Macaca fascicularis: one gene and its partners. The protein of the gene in region 1 binds, or shares a complex with, the protein of each later gene. Links are inferred from orthologs where the notes say so. Each region holds a gene or a part of one and is shown in the gene's direction. Other genes may lie near its edges. The genes, in order: DNTTIP1, MIDEAS and SAP30.

The links.
Region 2: the proteins of DNTTIP1 (region 1) and MIDEAS are in contact, whole or in part, in a cryo-EM structure (PDB 6Z2J), measured with the Homo sapiens proteins. The link is inferred for Macaca fascicularis from reciprocal best matches to the Homo sapiens genes DNTTIP1 and MIDEAS. Residues at the interface, in NP_443183.1 of Homo sapiens: Pro63, Ser66, Leu69, Leu70, Ala72, Val73, Leu74, Pro76, Ser77; in NP_001036783.1 of Homo sapiens: Gln768, Asp771, Leu772, Thr774, Ala775, Ser778, Ser779, Ile802, Leu803, Leu806.
Region 3: DNTTIP1 (region 1) and SAP30 share a complex: the UniProt entries of both Homo sapiens proteins name them as parts of the histone deacetylase complex. The link is inferred for Macaca fascicularis from reciprocal best matches to the Homo sapiens genes DNTTIP1 and SAP30.

What each region holds. Positions count from the first base shown.
Region 1 is NC_088384.1:101,820,224-101,827,255, forward strand, and holds the start of DNTTIP1 (deoxynucleotidyltransferase terminal-interacting protein 1), read left to right. Parts: upstream 1-3,173; 5' UTR 3,174-3,241; coding exon 3,242-3,346; intron 3,347-3,919; coding exon 3,920-3,990; intron 3,991-5,155; coding exon 5,156-5,252; intron 5,253-7,032. Other genes in the region: WFDC3 (WAP four-disulfide core domain protein 3), read right to left, coding at 428-556, 1,110-1,191. UniProt on the Homo sapiens protein: Increases DNTT terminal deoxynucleotidyltransferase activity (in vitro). Also acts as a transcriptional regulator, binding to the consensus sequence 5'-GNTGCATG-3' following an AT-tract.
Region 2 is NC_088381.1:141,654,657-141,660,908, reverse strand, and holds part of MIDEAS (mitotic deacetylase-associated SANT domain protein), read left to right. Parts: intron 1-2,429; coding exon 2,430-2,775; intron 2,776-4,895; coding exon 4,896-4,962; intron 4,963-5,448; coding exon 5,449-5,591; intron 5,592-5,701; coding exon 5,702-5,805; intron 5,806-6,252.
Region 3 is NC_088379.1:178,116,995-178,123,834, forward strand, and holds the end of SAP30 (histone deacetylase complex subunit SAP30), read left to right. Parts: intron 1-867; coding exon 868-993; intron 994-1,420; coding exon 1,421-1,519; intron 1,520-4,696; coding exon 4,697-4,819; 3' UTR 4,820-5,025; downstream 5,026-6,840. UniProt on the Homo sapiens protein: Involved in the functional recruitment of the Sin3-histone deacetylase complex (HDAC) to a specific subset of N-CoR corepressor complexes. Capable of transcription repression by N-CoR.

The sequences.
Region 1 (7,032 bases):
GAACATCTCATTTGATCCTCACAATTACCCCCATTTTATAGATGAGGAAACTGAGGCTAAAAGCTTAAGATTTATAAAGAGCTAAGGCTTAAGGCTTAAAAAGGTCTGTTTGGCTCTAGGGTCTACTTTCTTAATCATTATCTTAAACAGGCTTCCCTTTACAACTCTTCCCTCCAGCCTTCACAGGAACTTTGAGTCGAAAGTAAAAGACATAGATAATCGATGGTGTGTTCTTCCCTGACAACTGGGGGCACTGAATAATTCTGAATAGTTAAAGGAGGAGGAACCCTAAAAGAGTAAAGAAGAAGTACTCTAGGCAAGTGAGACTTCAAGAGGCAACCTAGGAGGTGGGAAGCTCTCTGCTTCCATCTATCCCAGAGGCAATGTCAGAGAGTACGCCCAGATTTTGCCCCTCATGCCAACATACCCTTAGGAATGTCTCGGCAGATCCGACCACAGCCTGTGGTGCAGCACTTCTGCCCAGCCAGACACAATTCATCGCCCTGGCACAGCTCTTTGCATGGGTTCTTATCAGGAGGGCATTCTCCCTCTTTTGCTGCAAAAGATATCATGTGAGTTTGGGGTAACTAGCCAGGCCTCAAAAATGGGGAATGGAGGCCAAACATATTTCAAGGATCTTCAGCCCCTCCAGGCATCTCTATCCAAAATATTTCTGCACCACTGCCCTCTAGCCTGGGTGACAGAATGAGACTCTGTCTCTTAAAAAAAAAAAAAAAAAATTCTGCAACCACCTTCCCCTCCTAATACACAAATACTAACATACATCCACCACTACTAAAGGAGCAGCCATCCCGCAGATAACGAGAGAGAAAGGTTGGGATGATCCTGTTCTCATTTAATGAGTTCTAGGGAAAAGCTAGAACCTCTAGTAAGCCCAACTGGAAGTCTTATCTCCTTGTCCAGAGAGGGTAAAGAAAGCCAGGAAGAACGACCCAGGCCATCCTGAGAATCTATTCATCCAGTCCTGTCCTACAGAGATGATCATCTCCACCTACGAGCAACCTTGCTCTGGCAGAAGGCAGGGGATGACTTCTCTCCTCTAGTCACTTTCTGTTACTCTTGGCCAGGGATCCCAAATGATAGCTCACCATGTTCTCCCGCAGTTATCCAGGATTCCAGGGACCCAAGAGCAAGAAGTGCCTTCACAAGAAAGAGGCAGCTTAACATCATGATGATGCTGAGAGTTGGGATGAGAGCTTAGTTCAGGCTAGAGTTGTACACCTTGCCCAGAGTATCAGCTGAGGTATGGGCAGGACTAGGGATGGCCCCAAACCCAGTCCCAAAGCCTTCCCTTTCACAATACTATCAAGAATATCTTCTCCTGACAAGAGGAAGAGGGATTGGCTGCTGGAGTGTGGGGAAATTCCTGGCACTTCCAAAGGGCACATGTGATAGGAGGATCAAACTCTATAAGCAATATACACAATATTCCTGGATGATGAGAAACCTAGTGGGTGGCTGGAAAAATGGAAGGACGGCCATTGGAAAAAGAATCAAAGAGTGCCCTAAAGGGCATTGGAAGGACCTGGCTTTAGCCCAAATGACAGAGGGAGGGACTCATGACACTGCTTAAGAAAATAGCCAAAGCTAATAACATAACCAAGCATAACAAAATTGTTCATCCTAGCAACCCAGAAAAGACAGAATGGAACAGACCACTCAGAAACTATCAAACAGGCCAAGGTGGGCAGATCACCTGAGGTCAGGAGTTCGAGACCAGCCTGGCCAACATGGCAAAACCCTGTATCTACTAAAAATACAAAAATCAGCTAGGCGTGGTGGCACATGCCTGTAATCCCAGCTACTTGGGAGGCTGAGGCAGGAGAATAGCTTAAACCCAGGAAGCAGAGGTTACAGTGAGTGGAGATCATGCCACTGCACTCCAGTTTGGGTAACAGAGTGAGACTCTGTCTCAAAAAAAAAGGCGGGGGGAGAAACTATCAAAAACCTACAGAAAGGCAGTAGTTGAGTTTGTTAAGAACTAATGAAAAAGCACCAAACACCTACATCTTTGTCCCTCTAGCCCACACAGGCCATTCTTGGACTGTATGAAGGCTAGCTGGCAGAACTCAAGAGAACAGTTGCTATGTATGACTCAGATAGTCTGCCTACATATACCACCTTTATTTCTTTTTCCTCTATTTCTTTTTTTCTTTATCTGTCCTCTTTATGCCTTTGGTCAGCTGTGATACCCAATGGTGTCCACTGGCACTGCTTAGTCCTATGGGCAGGTACAAGGTTAAAACCTCCCTAATAGGATGAAAAAGTTTGGAGCCAGGAAGTTGCCCTTATTGTTATAAGATTGATGTTGGCTCATGGAGATAATTAACATTTGTTGATGGCCTAACATGTGCCTAATATGGTTTTTTTTTTTTTGGGGGGGGGGGGACAGAGTCTCCCTCTGTCCTCCAGGCTGGAGTGCAGTGGCGCGATCTCGGCTCACTGCACAATCTCGGCATAATTAACATTTGATGACGACCTAACATGTGCCTAATACGCCTGTTTTTTTTGCTTTTTGTTTTTTGTTTTTTTGAGACAGTCTCCCTCTGTCGCCCAGGCTGGAGTGCAGTGGCGTGATCTTGGCCCACTGCAACCTCCGCCTCCTGGGTTCAAGAGATTCTCCTGCCTCAGCCTCCTGAGTAGCTGGGATTACAGGCGCCCAACATCAGGCCCGGCTAATTTTTGTATTTTTAGTAGAGACGGGGTTTCGCCATGTTGGCCAGGCTGGTCTCGAACTCCTGATTGCAAGTGATCCTCCCGCCTCGGCCTCCCAAAGTGCTGGGATTACAGGCATGAGCCACCGCCCCTGGCACAGCATATTAAAATCTAGTCTTCAAACACTGAACTGCAGGCGTCGCTGCACCAAACACTTCCCTCTGCTCCCCAACCCCAGCCTACAGAAACCAGCTCCCCTCCTCCTACCCCGCAGTCATCCACAGGCCTTGGCCCAGCGGGAAACGTCCCTTGACTGAACCGCCACTGAACACCCACACTCCACAATCGAGGGGCAGCCCTCCCGAGAGGAAGCCCCAACGACCTCCAACCACAAGGCGTCTAAGTGTAACTGTCCCGGGCGAGGCGCGGCGGTTCGGTTCCCATGGTAACCCCGCAGCTCCTGCGTCGCGCTTCCGGGCGGACGAGCAGCGCGCCTCAGTGACGTCACGGCGCCACTTTCCGGCCGGTGGCAGAGTCCGGCGAAGTTGTGGTGGCCTGGGGCGCCATGGGAGCCACTGGCGACGCCGAGCAGCCGCGGGGACCCAGCGGGGCCGAGCGGGGCGGCTTGGAGCTGGGGGATGCGGGCGCAGCGGGGCAGCTGGTTCTCACGGTGAGGGCGCCCCCGGTGAGGTCTGGGCTCGGGCCGGGCAGGGCCTCGGGGCTCCCGGGACCCTGGCCCGCGGGCGAGAACGCGGCGGCTGCAGCTGCAGAGGGGGTTGGCGTTTTCGCAGCCCGACGACCTGGATTCAAATTCTGGTGCCGCCCTCCTAGCTAGGTGACGTGGGCCAGCTCTGTCGACCCCCTGAGTCCCCAGATCATCTTCTATAAAATGGAGATGATTAGTACCTGTCTCATAAAAGTTGTTGTGGGATGGGAAGATAAAGGCGGGTACAGCGCCCAGGACATCACCTGACACAGAGTTGACCCTCGGTAAACACTGCTTCCCTTCCTCCTGCCGTGCCAGAAGGCAGGGTCGGGACTTTTAAGGCAGGAAACTTCCTCAGTTCCTCTTTTGTGGAGGGGGCCTTCCAACTGTTGTCCTCCCCCGATACCCCAAGGCGGGAGAGATGGTGACGGATCTGAGAAGCAGGAATGTTTAGGTTTAACTTCATACCCACCCTCCACCTCCACCCCACGCCAGTGTCACAGGCCGCAGTGACATTTGTTCCGTTGGTCCCCACAGAACCCTTGGAACATAATGATAAAGCACCGGCAGGTGCAGCGGAGGGGCCGCCGCTCACAGATGACAACAAGGTAAGGCTGGCCCTGCATGGGACTTGTATCCCAGCCACTGGCTTGCATGGCAGCTTTGGGATCCCCAGTGCACAAGACTATGGAGATCTACAGCCTGTAGAAAGAGCACAGGACTGAGAAAGAGGAGACTCCGATCCTGTAACTCTGTGTGATCTTGAGCTAGTCAAGTCACTTCCTTCTCTGAACTCACGAAATGGGGAAGGGCACAGGAGATGGGTTGGGGAATAAAAAATACCTAAGACCCCTCACATTCACTGGCTCTGTGATTGAGGGCTCTTAAGAGGTCAGTTAGCATGGAGTTTAAGAGCACGGGCTCTGGAGTCAGACAACTGTGTTCTCATGCAGCCTCTGATGAGCCCCTGTTTTCTCAACTATAAAGACGGATTAATAGTATCCATCTCAGGGAAGGGAGAGAGCACAAGGTGGGCCTTTGGGATGCTGGTAGTGGTGAATTGGATGTTCACTGTAATTACTCATTAAAGTGTATAGACTTTTCTGTATAATAAGTATTATATTTCATAAAAACACTTTGGGCCGGGCGCAGTGGCTCACGCCTGTAATCCCAGCACTTTGGGAGTCTGAGGTGGGCGGATCACCTGAGGTCAGGACTTTGAGAACAGCCTGACCAACATGGAGAAACCCTGTCTCTACTAAAAATACAAAAAGATGGCCGGGTGCAGTGGCTCACGCCTGTAATCCCAGCACTTTGGGGATCTGAGGCGGGCAGATCACCTGAGGTTGGGAGTTTGAGACCAGCCTGACCAAGGAGAAACCCGGTCTCTACTAAAAATACAAAAATTAGCTGGGTGTGGTGGTGCACACCTGTAATCCCAGCTACTCGGGAGGCTGAGGCAGGAAAATTGCTTGAACGCAGGAGGCGGAGGTTGCAGTGAGCCAAAACCACACCACTGCATTCCAGCCTGGGCAACAGAGTGAGACTCCGTCCAAAAAAAAAAAACTTTGAAAATAATACCCACTTCATAGAGTTATGAGAATGAAATAAAGTCATGCCTTTGTGATTTGAACAAAATCTGAGCATGTAGCTAGTTTTCAGTAAAAGTTGTCTAGTATTGTTAAAGAATTCTATGTCCATAATTGACTGGGCAAGGTGAGAAAGAATATGTTTCGGACATGCCCCCTCACCCTGTCTCCCTCCTGAATGCAGTTTCACAGATCCTGCCATCTCTATGGATCTCCTCCGAGCTGTCCTGCAGCCTAGCATCAATGAGGAGATCCAGACTGTCTTCAACAAGTACATGAAGGTGAGAGGGACACAGGATAAAAAATAACGGGAAAGACTCATGAGGAGCCCAGTCCTTCCTTGCATCACCAGTCCGTCTCTTTCCTACACACAGATATCTAAAGTTTTCCTTTTGTTTTTTTGTTTTTTTGTTTGTTTTGTTTTGTGTTTTTGAGACAGAGTCTCACTCTGTCACCCAGGCTGGAGTGCAGTGGCATGATATCGATTCAGTGCAACCTCCACTTCCCAGGTTCCAGCGATTCTCATGCCTCAGCCTCCCTAGTAGCCAGGATTACAAGCGCCCACCACCACACACAGCGAATTTTTGTATTTTTAGTAGAGACAGGGTTTCACTGTTGACCAGGCTGGTCTCAAACTCCTGACCTCAAGTGATCTGCCCGCCCACCTTGGCCTCCCAAAGTGCTGAGATTATAGGTGTGAGCCAGCGCGCCCGGCCAGCTTTCAAATTTTTAATCCCCCAAGAATTTTATCCCTTCCTTGAGGGTAATTCAGATATCTTTTTTTTTTTTTAAATCTGCCCTTGTCACTCACTGTCACGTTTTTGTTTTTGTTTTTTTTGCTGACTTCTTGTAAGGATGAAATGACTTAAATGTACTGTGCTGAGCACTGCACTTAGGACATAACAAGTGTCCAGTAAGTACTTCTATTAGTTGTTTAATAATATCACCATTATTGGGGCCATGCACAATGGCTCACACCTGCAACCCCAGCACTTTGGGAGGCCGAGGCAGAATCACTTGAGGCCAGGAGTTTGAGACCAGCCTGGGCAACATAGTGGGACCTCATCTCTACTACAAAAAAAAAAAAAAAATTTATTAGCCAGGCATGGTAGTGCGTGCCTGTAGTCCCAGCTACTCAGAAGGCTCAGGCGAGAGGATCACTTGAGCCCAGGAGTTTGGGTTTGTAGTGAGCTATGATCATACCACTACACTCCAACCTGAGTGACAGTGAGGGCCTTTCTCGAAAAATATATGTAGATAAATAAAGTTGCCATTATTATTATTATTTACGGGTTTTTTCCCTGGCCTATAAATAAATTTCCACATGACTTTACTTAAATGTACCAAAAGAGGATGCTTTAAACTCAGTATGTTCAGAACTGAACTCTTTGTTTTTCTTCCTAAATCTCCTCCTCTTACATTTATTCATTTATGTAAGAAGTATTTATTTACCGGGCGCTGTGGCTCACACCTGTAATCCCAACACTTTGGGAGGCCGAGGCAGGTGGATCACCTGAGGTCAGGAGTTCGAGACCAGCCTGACACAACATGCTGAAACCCCATCTCTACTAAATACAAAAAATTAGTCAGGCGTGGTGACACATACCTGTAATCCCAGCTACTCGGGATGCTGAGGCATGAGAATCTTGAACCTGGGAGGCAGAGGTTGCAGTGAGCTGAGATTGCACCATTGTACTCCAGCCTGGGCAACAAGAGCAAAACTCCCTCTCAAAATAAAAAGTATTTATTGAATGACTACTATACTACCAGGCACTATTCTAGTCACTGGGGATGTAGCAGTAAACAGAACATATGCTCTCTGTAAACAAATATGTGCTGTGTTAGAGAAAGAGAGAAGACAGGGGAAAGAGAGCAACCAGTAGAGAGTAGGGTTGCTGTTTTATAGATTGTGGCTAGGAAAGCCTTTGATAGAGGACATTTGAGTGGAGACCTGAATAAGTGAGGAAAAAGCAAACCATGAAGATACTTGGGGAAGAAGCAGTCCAGTTGCAGAGGAAATGGTAGAGGCTCTGAGACAGGAGTGTGCTTGGCACATCAAAG
Region 2 (6,252 bases), on another chromosome or scaffold:
TCACCTCTAGGGAAAACGCAGCTTCAAATACTGGGCTCACCTCTTTAGCATTCTTTTTTTCCCCCTGGATCTTGGCTCTTTAATTCTTTGCTTATTTGCCCTCTGATATCTTCAGAAATGTGTTTTGCATATCGAGTCCAGATTTTCTGGTTATTCTCAGCTGGAGAGTTGGCCTGCATGCCTCTGTCATAGGCAGGGGAGCACCACAGTCTCTGCTCTCTGGGTTCCTGTTCCCTGGTTGAGGAAAAGTTTGTGGTAGAGGCTGGAGGTCTGGGCAGCTTGTTCTGAGAGTGAGCAGGAAGGAGCCTCAGCAGCTCCACAGCTCAATGCCCCTATTTTATAAATGAGGAGCGAGGTCCAGAAAAGACAAGAGACTGACCTAAGGTCATACAGCCAAGTAATAGTAGAGCTAGCCCTAGAATTGGGATCTCCTGAATCCCTGCCTGTGAGTACTTCTACTACACCAGGCTTTGGGGGGAGGTTTTGTTACTTGTTTATTTCATTCATTAGTTTTTATTCTTTGTACTACAGATACTTTCTTTCATGCATAAAAGTAGAGAGGGCTATAATGAATGCCAGCGTTTAGCCATCACCCAGATTTCACAGTTATCAAAACATAGCCAATCTTGTTTCACCTGTACCTCTGCTTCTCCATGCCGCTAGGTTATTTTGAAGCACATCCTGAACATCGTATCATTCCATCCATATATACTTCAGTTTGTGTCTGAAATACATAAGGACTCTTTCTTCTTCAACATTATCTCAGTAGCATTACCACACCTAAGAAATGAACATGACTGTTTTTGTCAAATATTCAGAATAGTTTAAATCTCTTATTATAAAATTACAAATGATTACAGCCAGCTGATTTTTTGGTTAGATTTCTTGTCAAGAAAGTTTGGGGGGGGGGGCCTTTGGCTCCTGCATTTTTTTTTTTTTTTTTTCTGTGCAATCATATTGTTTCCCTAAGGGAAGAAAAATGAACGATTTCATTTCATCCCAATTTCTAGAAGGGAAAAGAGGGCGCAGATGAGTGAAGGACATGGCCACAGCCTCAAAGGGGAGTCAGGGCCCTCTGCTGGAAGGTGTTTATGGGAGCCAGAACCTTGGCAGGGAGACAGCTCATTATTCTAAGGCCCACTTGGTCAACATGGCCAGCCTTACCTGTTATACTGAGTATGCAGAGGGATAAACTGGATGCTGCTCACCTTGTAGGGCTCCATTCTCTGCCTTTGAGATTATAGGAATCGAGCAAGGGAAGGCCTCTGTTGTCTTATAGTCCTGCTCCCTATTCTAGATAGAGGCCCATGAGGCACACCTAGCAAGGAGAAGTAGGCGGGCTAACTTTTGCCAGTGTGCATGGGCTAGACTTTCCTAGTGGGATTAATACTATGAGAACAAAAGTTCTGCAAGGACAAGGACTGTCCATTCCATTTTTTTTTTTTTCTTTTTCCTTTTTGTTTTTTGAGAGAGAGTCTAGTTCTGTTACCCAGGCTAGAGTGCAGTGGCACGATCTTGGCTCACTACAACCTCCACCTCCCGGGTTCAAGTGATTCTCGTGCCTCAGCCTCCTGAGTAGCTGAAATTACAGGCACCTGCCACCATGCCCAGCTAATTTTTGTGTTTTAGTAGAGACAGGGTTTTGCCATGTTGGCCAGGCTGGTCTCGAACTCCCAACCTCAAGTGATCCCTCCACCTCGACCTCCCAAAGTGCTGAGATTACCACGCCCGGCCTTGTCCATTCCATTTTGTAGTCCCATGCCCAGCTCAGGTCTTAGCACGCAGTAGGAACTTTCATCTAACGCAGAGCCTGGAGTTTAAGTAGTGATAGCCAATATTTACTAGGTACCAAGTAGCGTTCTCAGTGATTTCCATGTATTAATTCATGTAGTCCTCATAGTTACCCCAGTAAGTAGGCACTTACTAGGTAGGCACCATGTTAAAAATGAAGATGCACAGAAAGATTGAGTAATTTTAAGTGGCAATAAAGGTGGTAGGTCCCAACCCAAGCAGTCCAGCTGCAGAGCCTGGGCCCTGAACTACTGTACTCTTCTGCCCTGTCACACACTTTACAGCAGAGGTGGGGAACGGTGGTCTGGGGGCCAAATCCAGAGCTAAGAATGGTGTTACAATTTTATACGATTAGTTTTAAAAAGAAAAAGGGAAAGAAGACGAATATGTAACAGAGATCACATGTGGCCCACAAAGCCTAAAATATTTACTCTCTGGCCCCTTACAGAAAAAGTTTGCTGACCTCTGGCCTAGAGGAGACAATAAGGGCTTTTGGACGTGCTCCTTTTTTTCAGGCTTGCCTTGGTGGGTGTGGTGGGCAGCCTAAGTTCCAAAGGTGAGACCGGCAAGCTGTGGTTAAGACTTCACTTTCCCTGGGACACAAGGCTGAGCCATCTTTGTTTTCTTTCCTTCTCCAGGCGGAAGACATAAATGTCAAGTTGGAGGGGGAGCCTTCCGTGAGGAAACCAAAGCAGCGGCCCAGGCCCGAGCCCCTCATCATTCCCACCAAGGCGGGCACTTTCATCGCCCCTCCCGTCTACTCCAACATCACCCCATACCAGAGCCACCTGCGCTCTCCTGTGCGCCTAGCTGACCACCCCTCTGAGCGGAGCTTTGAGCTGCCTCCCTACACGCCGCCCCCCATCCTCAGCCCTGTGCGGGAAGGCTCTGGCCTCTACTTCAATGCCATCATATCAACCAACACCATCCCCGCCCCTCCTCCCATCACACCTAAGAGTGCCCATCGCACGCTGCTCCGGACTAGTGAGTGACCTCCCTCCGCGGCCCTGGCAGGAGCGGGGCTGGGGCAGTGGGCAGGGAGGCATCTCAGCCTATGGGGCTGCTGCGGGATTGGGCTGGAACACTCTGGGAGAAGGAGCTCTGCTCTGTCTTCTCTGAGATTGAGAAGGAGGTTGTCCTCATTCAACAAGGAGGGGCGGAGGGCCCGCCCAGCTGCTTGGATTCAAATCTCAATTTCATCATTTACTGTTACATCCACTTTTGCAAGTCACTTCAACTCCCTGGGCCTCAGTTTTTTCAGTATTAAGATGGGGATATTAGTAGTACTTGGTTGATGATGAAATTGCCAATATTCAACTATTTTTGGGTTCACAAATAGTAGTTTCCTTTGGTTCAACCTAATGACCACTTCCTAGGCTCAGGTGCATTAGCACACATAAAGCTGGAACATCATGCCAGGCCATCCTGTTTGCTCATAGTCCTTTGCAGCAGATCTGGTCTCTGGGGCTCTCAAACAGTCATTTTGGCCAAAAACAGACACTCTGGAAATATTGGGCTGGCTTGGGGTGGTGTCCTGCCGAAAAGTGTTGCCCACTCCACAAGGAGATCCATTTCCTCTGCAGAATGGGGTAATCCAATCCCTTAGGGTGGTAGAGAGGATTAAGTGGAAGTAGCTAGCTCATAGATGCTTTTGGCCAATTAACCTTTGACTGTGACCTCACCCATGGTGTAGCTCTCTGGTGCCCCCTGGTGTCTGTGGGTGCAAAATGTTTGCCCTAGGCTGGCCAGCCTTCTGTCCTGCTTCCTGGGGAGGCTTCTCCCTGGCTAGGCTGTGTAGGAAGAGGAAGTCATTGTGGAGATCAGACTGGCAGCCAGCGAGAGGTCAGTCTGCCCACGAGTAGTTACCGAACACTTGGGCGTAAGGCCTTGAACTGGGTCCTGTGAGGGCTCCAAGAATGTACAGGACACCGTGGTCTGTTCTATAGAGAATGCAAGGTCATTAGGGAGTTGACATGAAAGCCTGGGAGTTGGAAAAACAGAGGTTCCTGGCAGTGTGGGATCTGTAGCCAGTGAGTGAAGTCCCTAGCAGCTAGCCTGGGCTGGTGAGGACTGCATTCAAGTGGGGTGGGGCCAGAGCTGAGCCCCAGAGATGGAGGAGGGCAGGGGCAGGGAGGACACACCAGGGAGAGGAAATGACTGATGCAAAGGCCTGTAGATGGGACCATGCAGGGAGAGTGAGGGGCCGAGAGATAAGCAGTCAGCTAGGATGCAGGTCCAGGCACATGGGTGGTGAGAGGTACAGATGGAAGCGGAACTACCTTGAACTCTGAGGGGAGGGTTGCAGGTTTTATCTCACATTGCAGCAGGGAGTCAGTAAAAAGCAAAGATTTTTTTTTTTCTTTTTTGTTTTTGAGCAAAGGAGTGTTTTGATCATGTGGGGCCTTAAGAAGACCAGCTTGGGGCTGGGCACAGTGACTCACACCTGTAATCCCAGCTACTTGGGAGGCTGAGGGAGGAGAATCGCTTGAACTTAGAGGTTCAACTCCTTGAGCCGAGATCACACCACTGCACTCCAGCCTGGGCAGAGACAGAGTGAGACTTTGTCTCAAAAAGAAAGAAAGAAAGAAAAAAAACTAGCTTGGGAGAAACTGAGGCGGAAAATCCAAAGAGGAAGTGAGAAAGTGAGACAATAACTGTATAACAGCGATGCCCTTCACCACCTCCCTAGTGTGCTCAAAGTTTCAGTCTCTTTACTAGAAAACCACAGCTTTACATTGGAGCTGATTCTCTAGTGTTGGAGCTTCTGGGGCAGGGATATGGCTTTAGTTGTAGAAGCAGTAATAATAATCTTTATCGAGTGCCAGGCTCAGTGTGTTATTTTATCCAGTTCTCACATTAACTCTAGGAGACAGGTAGTAATCGTCCCTTTTGGTAGGTGTGAAAACTGAGGCACCCAAATATTTAGTGAAGAGCCTGCGTTTTTGTAGGTGGCAGGCTGCAGAGCCAGGACTCAGGTGCCTGTGTTCCCTGTGTGAGCTCTGTGTGTCACCACTGTGACTCTTGCACATACAGGGCAGCCACTAGGATTGGGGGTGCTTTGCTAAAAGGAGGTACTATTTATCAACCTGCTCTTTGTCCCGTAGACAGTGCTGAAGTCACCCCGCCTGTCCTCTCTGTGATGGGGGAGGCGACCCCAGTGAGCATCGAGCCGTAAGTGCAGCCCTGCCCCTGGCCGAGGGTGTGTGGGTGGCCACACTGGTGCAGTGTGTGCAGGTGGGCCCTGGGAGCAACAGGAGGGTTCCGTGGGGACTGCATAGGGCTGAGAGGGCCTCCCTGAGCTTCTGTATTTGGCCCTGGACTTTGCTGTCCCCGCCCTGCCTCTGTGTGGAAGTTGCAGGGAAGGACAAGGACCGGCTCAGCTTGAACTTATCTCTAGGAGAGTTGGAAGGGGGGTCCAGAGGCTCTTTCCCATCTGTAAACCTGGAGCTGCTTCTCCCTTCTCCTGCCTCTGGACCTTGCCTTTCTAGTGGTGCCAGGTCAGACTGTCCTCCCAATCCCCTAGAAGCCAGACTCCCTCCACCTAGCTGAGGCCTTGCTCTGCCGGCTCCCCCTCATCTTCTTCCCACCCTGAGGGATCATCAAGTTCTCTGTCCCCGCAAGGTGAGGCCTCACCTCCTGCCCTTTTCATTCCTCTAGACGGATCAACGTGGGCTCCCGGTTCCAGGCGGAAATCCCCTTGATCAGGGACCGTGCCCTGGCAGCTGCAGATCCCCACAAGGCCGACTTGGTGTGGCAGCCATGGGAGAACCTAGAGAGCAGCCGGGAGAAGCAGAGGCAAGGTGAGGAGGGGCCTGGGGCAGCCAGTGAGGGCAGGCACAGGCCTCAGCCTGCCCAGCCCCGAGCTGAACGTGGTTTCCTCCCCTCCCCCCTCATGCTCCTGTGGATCCAGTGGAAGACCTGCTGACAGCTGCCTGCTCCAGCATTTTCCCTGGTGCTGGCACCAACCAGGAGTTAGCCCTGCACTGTTTGCACGAGTCCAGAGGAGACATCCTGGTGAGAAGGCGCCCCCAGCAGAGGGAGGACCCCTCAGTGGGGGCTGGCTTGGATCCATGTCTGCTGCTCAGGAGCTAGGCCTGCTGGCATGCACTTTTGAGGCCAGTAGGAGGGTCTGACTAAGGAAGGGGCTGTAGAGGCTTGACCCGAGGGAGCCCTAGTTTCGGCCCCCAGGTTTTGCTGTGCAGCGTTCTCCCGTCCATTCCCATCCCTGATTTTGGGTCAGTGGACTCAGACTGGATGGTTGCTGAGAGCCTTCTCCAGCAGTGCTGCCTCCCTTGGGGCCATGGTCTCTCTTAAGAGGACCTGAGGCCTGTTTTCTGGGCAGTCTCACCCCCTGTGATCTCACCACCCCACCAAACCCCTTATCTCTCAGCAGTTAAGGGGGGGCAAGAGTAAGTACCCACCCTACTCAGGATTTTATCAGGGCCTAGAATGCTCTGTCCA
Region 3 (6,840 bases), on another chromosome or scaffold:
ACATTGATTTAATTTAATATTCAGAAAAGTTGATAACTGAAATTTAAATATAGTTATGAAGTCGATAGCTCATTTGTAAAAACGGATGGTTTTGTATCCGGAATATAATTTGGGCATTCAGTTGGAAAGACTGGAAAGCATACATTATGTTACAAAAATATGCTCTTCTTTAAGTAGAGAAAGTACTGTCAAGTAGCAAAAGTGGGCAGCATCATCTTTCCCCTTAACAGTTAAAAATTCAACATGAACTAATTCATGTCATCCTCACTGCTATTTATTTATTTATTTATTTATTTATTTATGTGAGACAAAGTCTCACTCTGTTGCCCAGGCTGGAGTGCAGTGGCGCGATCTCAGCTCACTGCAACCTCCACCCACCAGGTTCAAGTGATTCTCCTGCGGTAGCCTCCTGAGTAGCTAGGATTACAGACTAGTGCCACCACGCCCGCCCAATTTTTTGTATTTTTAGTAGAGACGGGATTTCACCATTTTGGCCAGGCTTGTGTGGAACTCCTGAGCTCAAGAGGTGCTGGGATTACAGGCGTGAGCCACCGCGCCCGGCCCCTCACTGCAATTTGATGACAAAACCCAGAGGGTTGGAATTTCTCATTCTCCTCTCCCTCCCTCCCTTCACCCCTTCCCCAAATGGAACCAACCCCTCCTTCCCCATCCACCATCCTTTTAACAGTATTCCAGACTTCTTATGTTTTAACAGGGTTTAGGATTTAAATGTATAAATATTTCATTGTGTTAACAATGGCCATCTTGACTGTCTTTATTTTTACTATCTGTGGCATATGTGTTTTCCTAATACATAGACACATTTTACTGTAATCATTAGCAGTGTGTGAAACTTTTCTGTTTCAGGCAAGGCATCTTTACATATGTGATTATCATAAAAACTTAATTCAGAGTGTTCGAAACAGAAGAAAGAGAAAAGGGAGTGATGATGATGGAGGTGATTCACCTGTTCAAGATATTGATACCCCAGAGGTAAATGGAAGTTTTTTATGCTTAATATAAATCCTAAGTAGTGCATTCTGAAACCTTTATAAAAAGATATGAACAATCTTTTAAGTGTTTAAAACATTTGAGAAATCTGAAAATGAAAGCAAAATTAAATATAGCCAGTTGTCATGCATTTACACAGTTTGAATTGTTACATTTTAAATTGACAATTTTTGCGGCTCTGTTGTCACATAACTTACTCTTTTTTGACCTCAGTTTATATTATTAATCCCCAAAAGATTAAACTGTTTAATAATTTATAGGTTTGATTATGTAAATTTTTTAAATAATTTTTTTGATTTTGGAAGTAAATTTTTATTGTGCTGAAGTTAAAATGTTTGTTATTATACATATCGATGATAAATTTTCCACAAATTGTATGAACTAATTTATGCATGTTAATTTTTTCTAGGTTGATTTATACCAATTACAAGTAAATACACTTAGGAGATACAAAAGACACTTCAAGCTACCAACCAGACCAGGACTTAATAAAGCACAGCTTGTTGAGGTATATATGATTTTTAAACTATTTGAACTATGCACAACCGAGAGGCTGTTAAATGCTAATGAAAGTATTAATGTAGTATATGTAACAGTACATTTAACAGTACATTTTATTTAGAAAGAACAATGTTAAAAAATCTATTGTGGAAGAATCTAGTTGTCTAAAAATGTTTGTCAGCCACTTAGGAAATTCCTTTTTGTAATGACTACTCAGCAGGTTGTGTACAGCACCTTCTGATACTGGCTTTCAAAATGTGTTGTTTGTTTTTTGAGACAAAGTCTCGCTCTGTCACCCAGGCTGGAGTGCAGTGGCACGATCTCGGCTCATGGCAACCTCTACCTCCCAGGTTCAAGCAATTCTCCAGCCTCAGCCTCCCAAGCAGCTGGGACTTCAGGTGTGCACCACCACACCAGGCTGATTTTTGTGTAATATCTTTAGTAGAGATGGGGTTTCACCATGTTGGCCAGACTTGTCTCAAATTCCTGACTTCAAGTGATCCGCCCACCTCAGCCTACCAGAGTGCTGGGATCAGCAGTGTGAGCCACCGTGCCTGGCCCTCAAAATGTTGAATGAGAGTTTTTTTTAATCCTCACTTTAGAAATCTATTAGTTTTAAAACTCCATTTAACCAGTAAATGTTTGAGCATCTAATTGAGGCATAATAAATTTAATTAGCAAGCTTTAATGTCCTTATTAAAATTTATATTTTAAAGTGGTGGAGTAGGCCTACAAATCAGCCCCTAAACAGTATTTTTATAATTTGCTGACTTAACTATTTCAAAATTGGTCCTTGTTGATGTTAGTTTTATTAGAGACATCTATGTTTTCTTCACATCTAGAAGAGGCAAAAGCTTTTCTTTTACCCAATCTTTTACTTGTAGTTTGCTTTGACAGAGGACTTCTAGTTAGTCAGTGAGTTGTGAAAGTTAATGGAGTATGCATATGTTCTCAGGATATAATAGAACCAAGAAGTCTGTGCATCTTATTAAGATGCTTATAGATTGATATATTTATATTTTAATCATATTTAAAATTTTTGCTTGCAGCTACTCAGGAGGATTGATTAATCCTAGGAGTTTGAGTCACCATGGGCAACATAGCAACACTCCATCTCTAAAAAAGAAAATTTAGCCTACTAGACAAAATAGAAGTGTAGATATATAAATCGGTTTTCTCATATTCTTTGCATGGATTTAGTAGTTACCCAACATTTTCTAAAATGTACAACATTTCATTGAATAAAATGAAATATGAATAGAAGTTACATTTATCTGATGGAACGCTTTTTAACATTGTTAAAATCTAATACATTAACTATTTAGCTAAAATTTCTTATCCTTGGTTAGGCAACACGGATCTAATTAATTTTTCTTTAATTTTGATTTAAAAGATCAAGTTCTTTTGGGGTTGTACAATACATTATGTAACGTAAATATAGATCTTGCCCACCATGATGAAATATTTCAGTAGGTACTAATGGAGTGAAGGCACCCCTGTTTTGGAACAAATGAGAACCAAAGAACTAATTATTTTAAATGTTACATTTAGGTATAAATTAAACCTGAAATTTTTGATAAACTGACCTTCTAAGAACAGTTATATTATTTCTAGAGCTATTTTCTTTTTTATACATAAGAGATAGCCATGAGTGTTATATTTTACTTAATCAGAAATGCAGTTATTAACAGGTTAAGGAATGTGGAAATGTGCAGATGTAGTACATATATTTTAAGACAGGGGTCCCCAACCCCAGGGCCATGGACTGGTACTGGTTGATGGCCTGTTAGGAACAGGTCCACAGAGCAGGAGGTGAGCACCAGCTAGCAAGAATTACTGCCTGAGCTCCGCCTCCTGTCAGATCAGCCGTAGCATTAGATTCTCACAGGAGTCCAAAACCACGTGTGAAGTGCACATGTGAGGGATCTAGGTTGTACGCTTGTTATAAGAATCTAATGCCTGATGATCTGAGGTGGAACAATTTCATACCAAAACCAACTCCCCCACCCCCAATCTGTGCAAAAATTGCCTTCCGTGAAATCGATCTCTGGTGCCAAAAAGGTTGGGGACCACTGTTTTAAGGGATTCCAGGGTTGTATGACTAAGTCTTAAGTCTCGTAATTGTTGTGTGGATGAACTTTTTTCTTAAGAAATTCTATTTTCTGGAATCTAAATATGCTTGTCAGCACCTCAGGTAAGTCTATTAATCTTCTATTCGTAATTGTAGTATGCATATTACATTAGCACAATGAAAAGGCAAGGAAGCAGGTAAACATCCTTCATTGAACATCCCTCTTTCTCCTCTCATTTCCATTCACAATTTTTATTCAGAAAAATTTTCAAGGAACCTTAACCAAAGAATGCTACCAAGATACGAATGAATGAATGTAATTTGCAGCAAGTAATTTATATGTTATTGTTGATTACTACCAAAAGTTTTCAACTTCATACTTCTTTTTCTATCAGTAGGGTCTAAACCATTGCAGGTTTAATGATGCATGTGGTCTCTTACATCTGTTTTATCTCATTTAAAGTTTAAAAGTAAAAACATGTATTCCCTACTCTAGATTCCAATTATAAAATTTATTATTTTTATCTTATTTATCTTTTTTGAGACAGAGTCTTGCTCTGTCACCCAGGCTGGAGTCCAGTGGCGTGATCTCAGCTCACTGCAACCTCCACCTTCTGGGTTCAAGCAATCCTCCCATCTCAGCCTTCTGAATAGCTAGGATTACAGGTGTACACCACCACGCCTACTTAATTTTTGTATTTTTTTTTGGTAGAGATGGGGTTTTGTCATGTTGCGCAGGCTGGTCTTGAACTCCTGGGCTCAAGTGATCCCCCTACCTCCGCCTCCCAAAGTGCTGGGATTACAGGTGTGAGCCACCACTCCTGGCCCAATTATAAAATTTAAAATAAATAAAAGGAAAATGTATTTTCTAATCAATGTATAGTAAATTGAGTGAGCCAAAAGGTCCTTTGAAATCACATTATCTCTTGTTCATAACATTTTATTCTTAAATGCTTTTTGTCCTGTTGGTATTTTCTTAAATATAATTTTTAAAGGAAATAGCTCTTATCACATAGATTTTTTCTTTGGATGAAACCGTATTTTTTACCTAGTTTATGAAACCTGTTATATCTAAAATTTAATTTCCTTAATTTTTTTTTTTTTTCTTTATAGATAGTTGGTTGCCACTTTAGGTCTATTCCAGTGAATGAAAAAGACACCTTAACATATTTCATCTACTCAGTGAAGAATGACAAGAACAAATCAGATGTCAAGGTTGATAGTGGTGTTCACTAGGAGACGTGGAATTGAGACTAATAACTTGGATGATAACACTGTTTACTGTTTTTTCACATGTAGAAATGTTCTTTGTGTATTTTTTCTACAGAGGATTTTCTCTGATTTTATTTTCTTTGTTTCTGACTCTAATAATTAGTTGGAAACTCATGTAAAATGAGCTTTCCTAAATTAAAAACTATTTTAAATAAAGGTTATTACTATTATAGTTGCTTCAGTGTATTTATTTTGTGAAACTTGATTTTTCTTTTAAACTGACTTAGAGATCAGTATTGATATTTTAATGTAAAGTCCTTCATTTTATAACCCCCTTTTTTTTTTTTTTGTAAACTTCCAAGAAATTAACAGGGTAAGGAGAAGTAACAAATGTAGCACATTTGCATTCTCTGGGACAATCTGACTTGGAATTGAAGATATTTTAAATAGCATTATTTTTTTTAAGTGCTTTATAATGCTAGCAAATTTGAAAAATAAGCTTCTATTGGAATACAACTTCTTTTTTATTTCCTTTTTTTTTTTGTTATTATTACTTGATGAAGTACTAGGAAGAACAAATGGTTTAATTTATATACCCACCTCGTTCCAAAGACAACTTAATGTGCCAGTGAAGATAAACACAATGCTGAAAGTCGAAATAAGAACATGAAATGAAATAGCTGTTTTTGAAAATTTTGTCTTTGGGAAAAGATATTTATGTGGCATGAATACAGAAAGTACCTCTGCTATGCCCCTTAATTTTTAGTGATGTCCTGTACTGTTTACATTGCAAATGGTAACTAGTAAGTTGGAGAGGTCTAGATATCTAACAAGATCTTCATTTAAATTTTGGTTATATATGACTGACTTGATTTATCCATCTCCGTTTTATGTTTCATTCCTGGTCAGTTTTCTATCAAACATTCTAAACCTCTGCTTTTCCTGAGATTATATTGTTTAGCTAAATCCTTATAATTACAAATCAAATTTATAGTTTGTAACGCTTCAGCAAACTGTTGTGAGATAAAGCTGCGGATTTTAGGCTGGAAATGGATGAGACCATTAATGTAGCTCATGATTTCTCAAAGTTGACATTTGGACTCAATAATTCCTTTTGGTGGGAGGCCGTTGAGTCTATTGGAGGATTAGCAACATCCCTAAGTCCACTCAGTAGGTGCCAGTAGCTCCTCCAAGGTGTGACAACCAAAAATTCCTCTAGACACTGCCAAACATACTTTGATGGTCAAAATCACAGCTAGTTGAGAACCACTGATGTAACTAAAGTACTGCATCTAAAGTACTAGTTCATTAGTAGGTGACTGCATATTTTCAAGTGTTCTTAATGTATTGACTGCTAGAAAATATAATGAACAATAAAGCAACTGGTCTTTGGTTTTGCTATGACCATTGAAAGATTTGCTTGCTACTTTATTAGCAAGCACAGGCTGTAATAATTGCTGTCATAGAAACTTCTCATTTCTGGAATTCTGGAAATCTGTGAGAAGACTTCTTATAAAAACATTTTGAGGCCGGGTACACTGGCTCACACCTGTAATCCCAGCACTTTAGGAGGTCAAGATAGGCAGATCACTTGAGCCCAGGCATTCAAGGCAAAATGGTGAACCCTATCTCTACAAAAAAATACAAAACTTAGCTAGGCCTGGTGACGTGCATCTGTAGTCCCAGCTACTTGGGAGGCTGAGGTGGGAGAATCACTTGAGCCTGGGAGATTGGGGCTGCAGTGTGCTATGATTGCAGCACTGCACTCCAGCATGGGCATTGGAGTGAGACCGACTCAAAAAAAAAAAAAAAAAAAAACCCAAAATGAAACCCATATTCTGTTCTTGTGAAAAACAAAAGCTTGAAATTATTTGCTGATATAAAAGTATGAACATAACCTTTGGCAATGTTAATTTCATATAATTATTTGTGTAATAAAATGTAGTTTTATAAAATATGAATGAAGAGTTCCGGATGGTAGTTATTCAATGAAATCAAATCCTTGTTAATTTAAAATACAAAAAATCGGATCTTGTAAGTTGAGA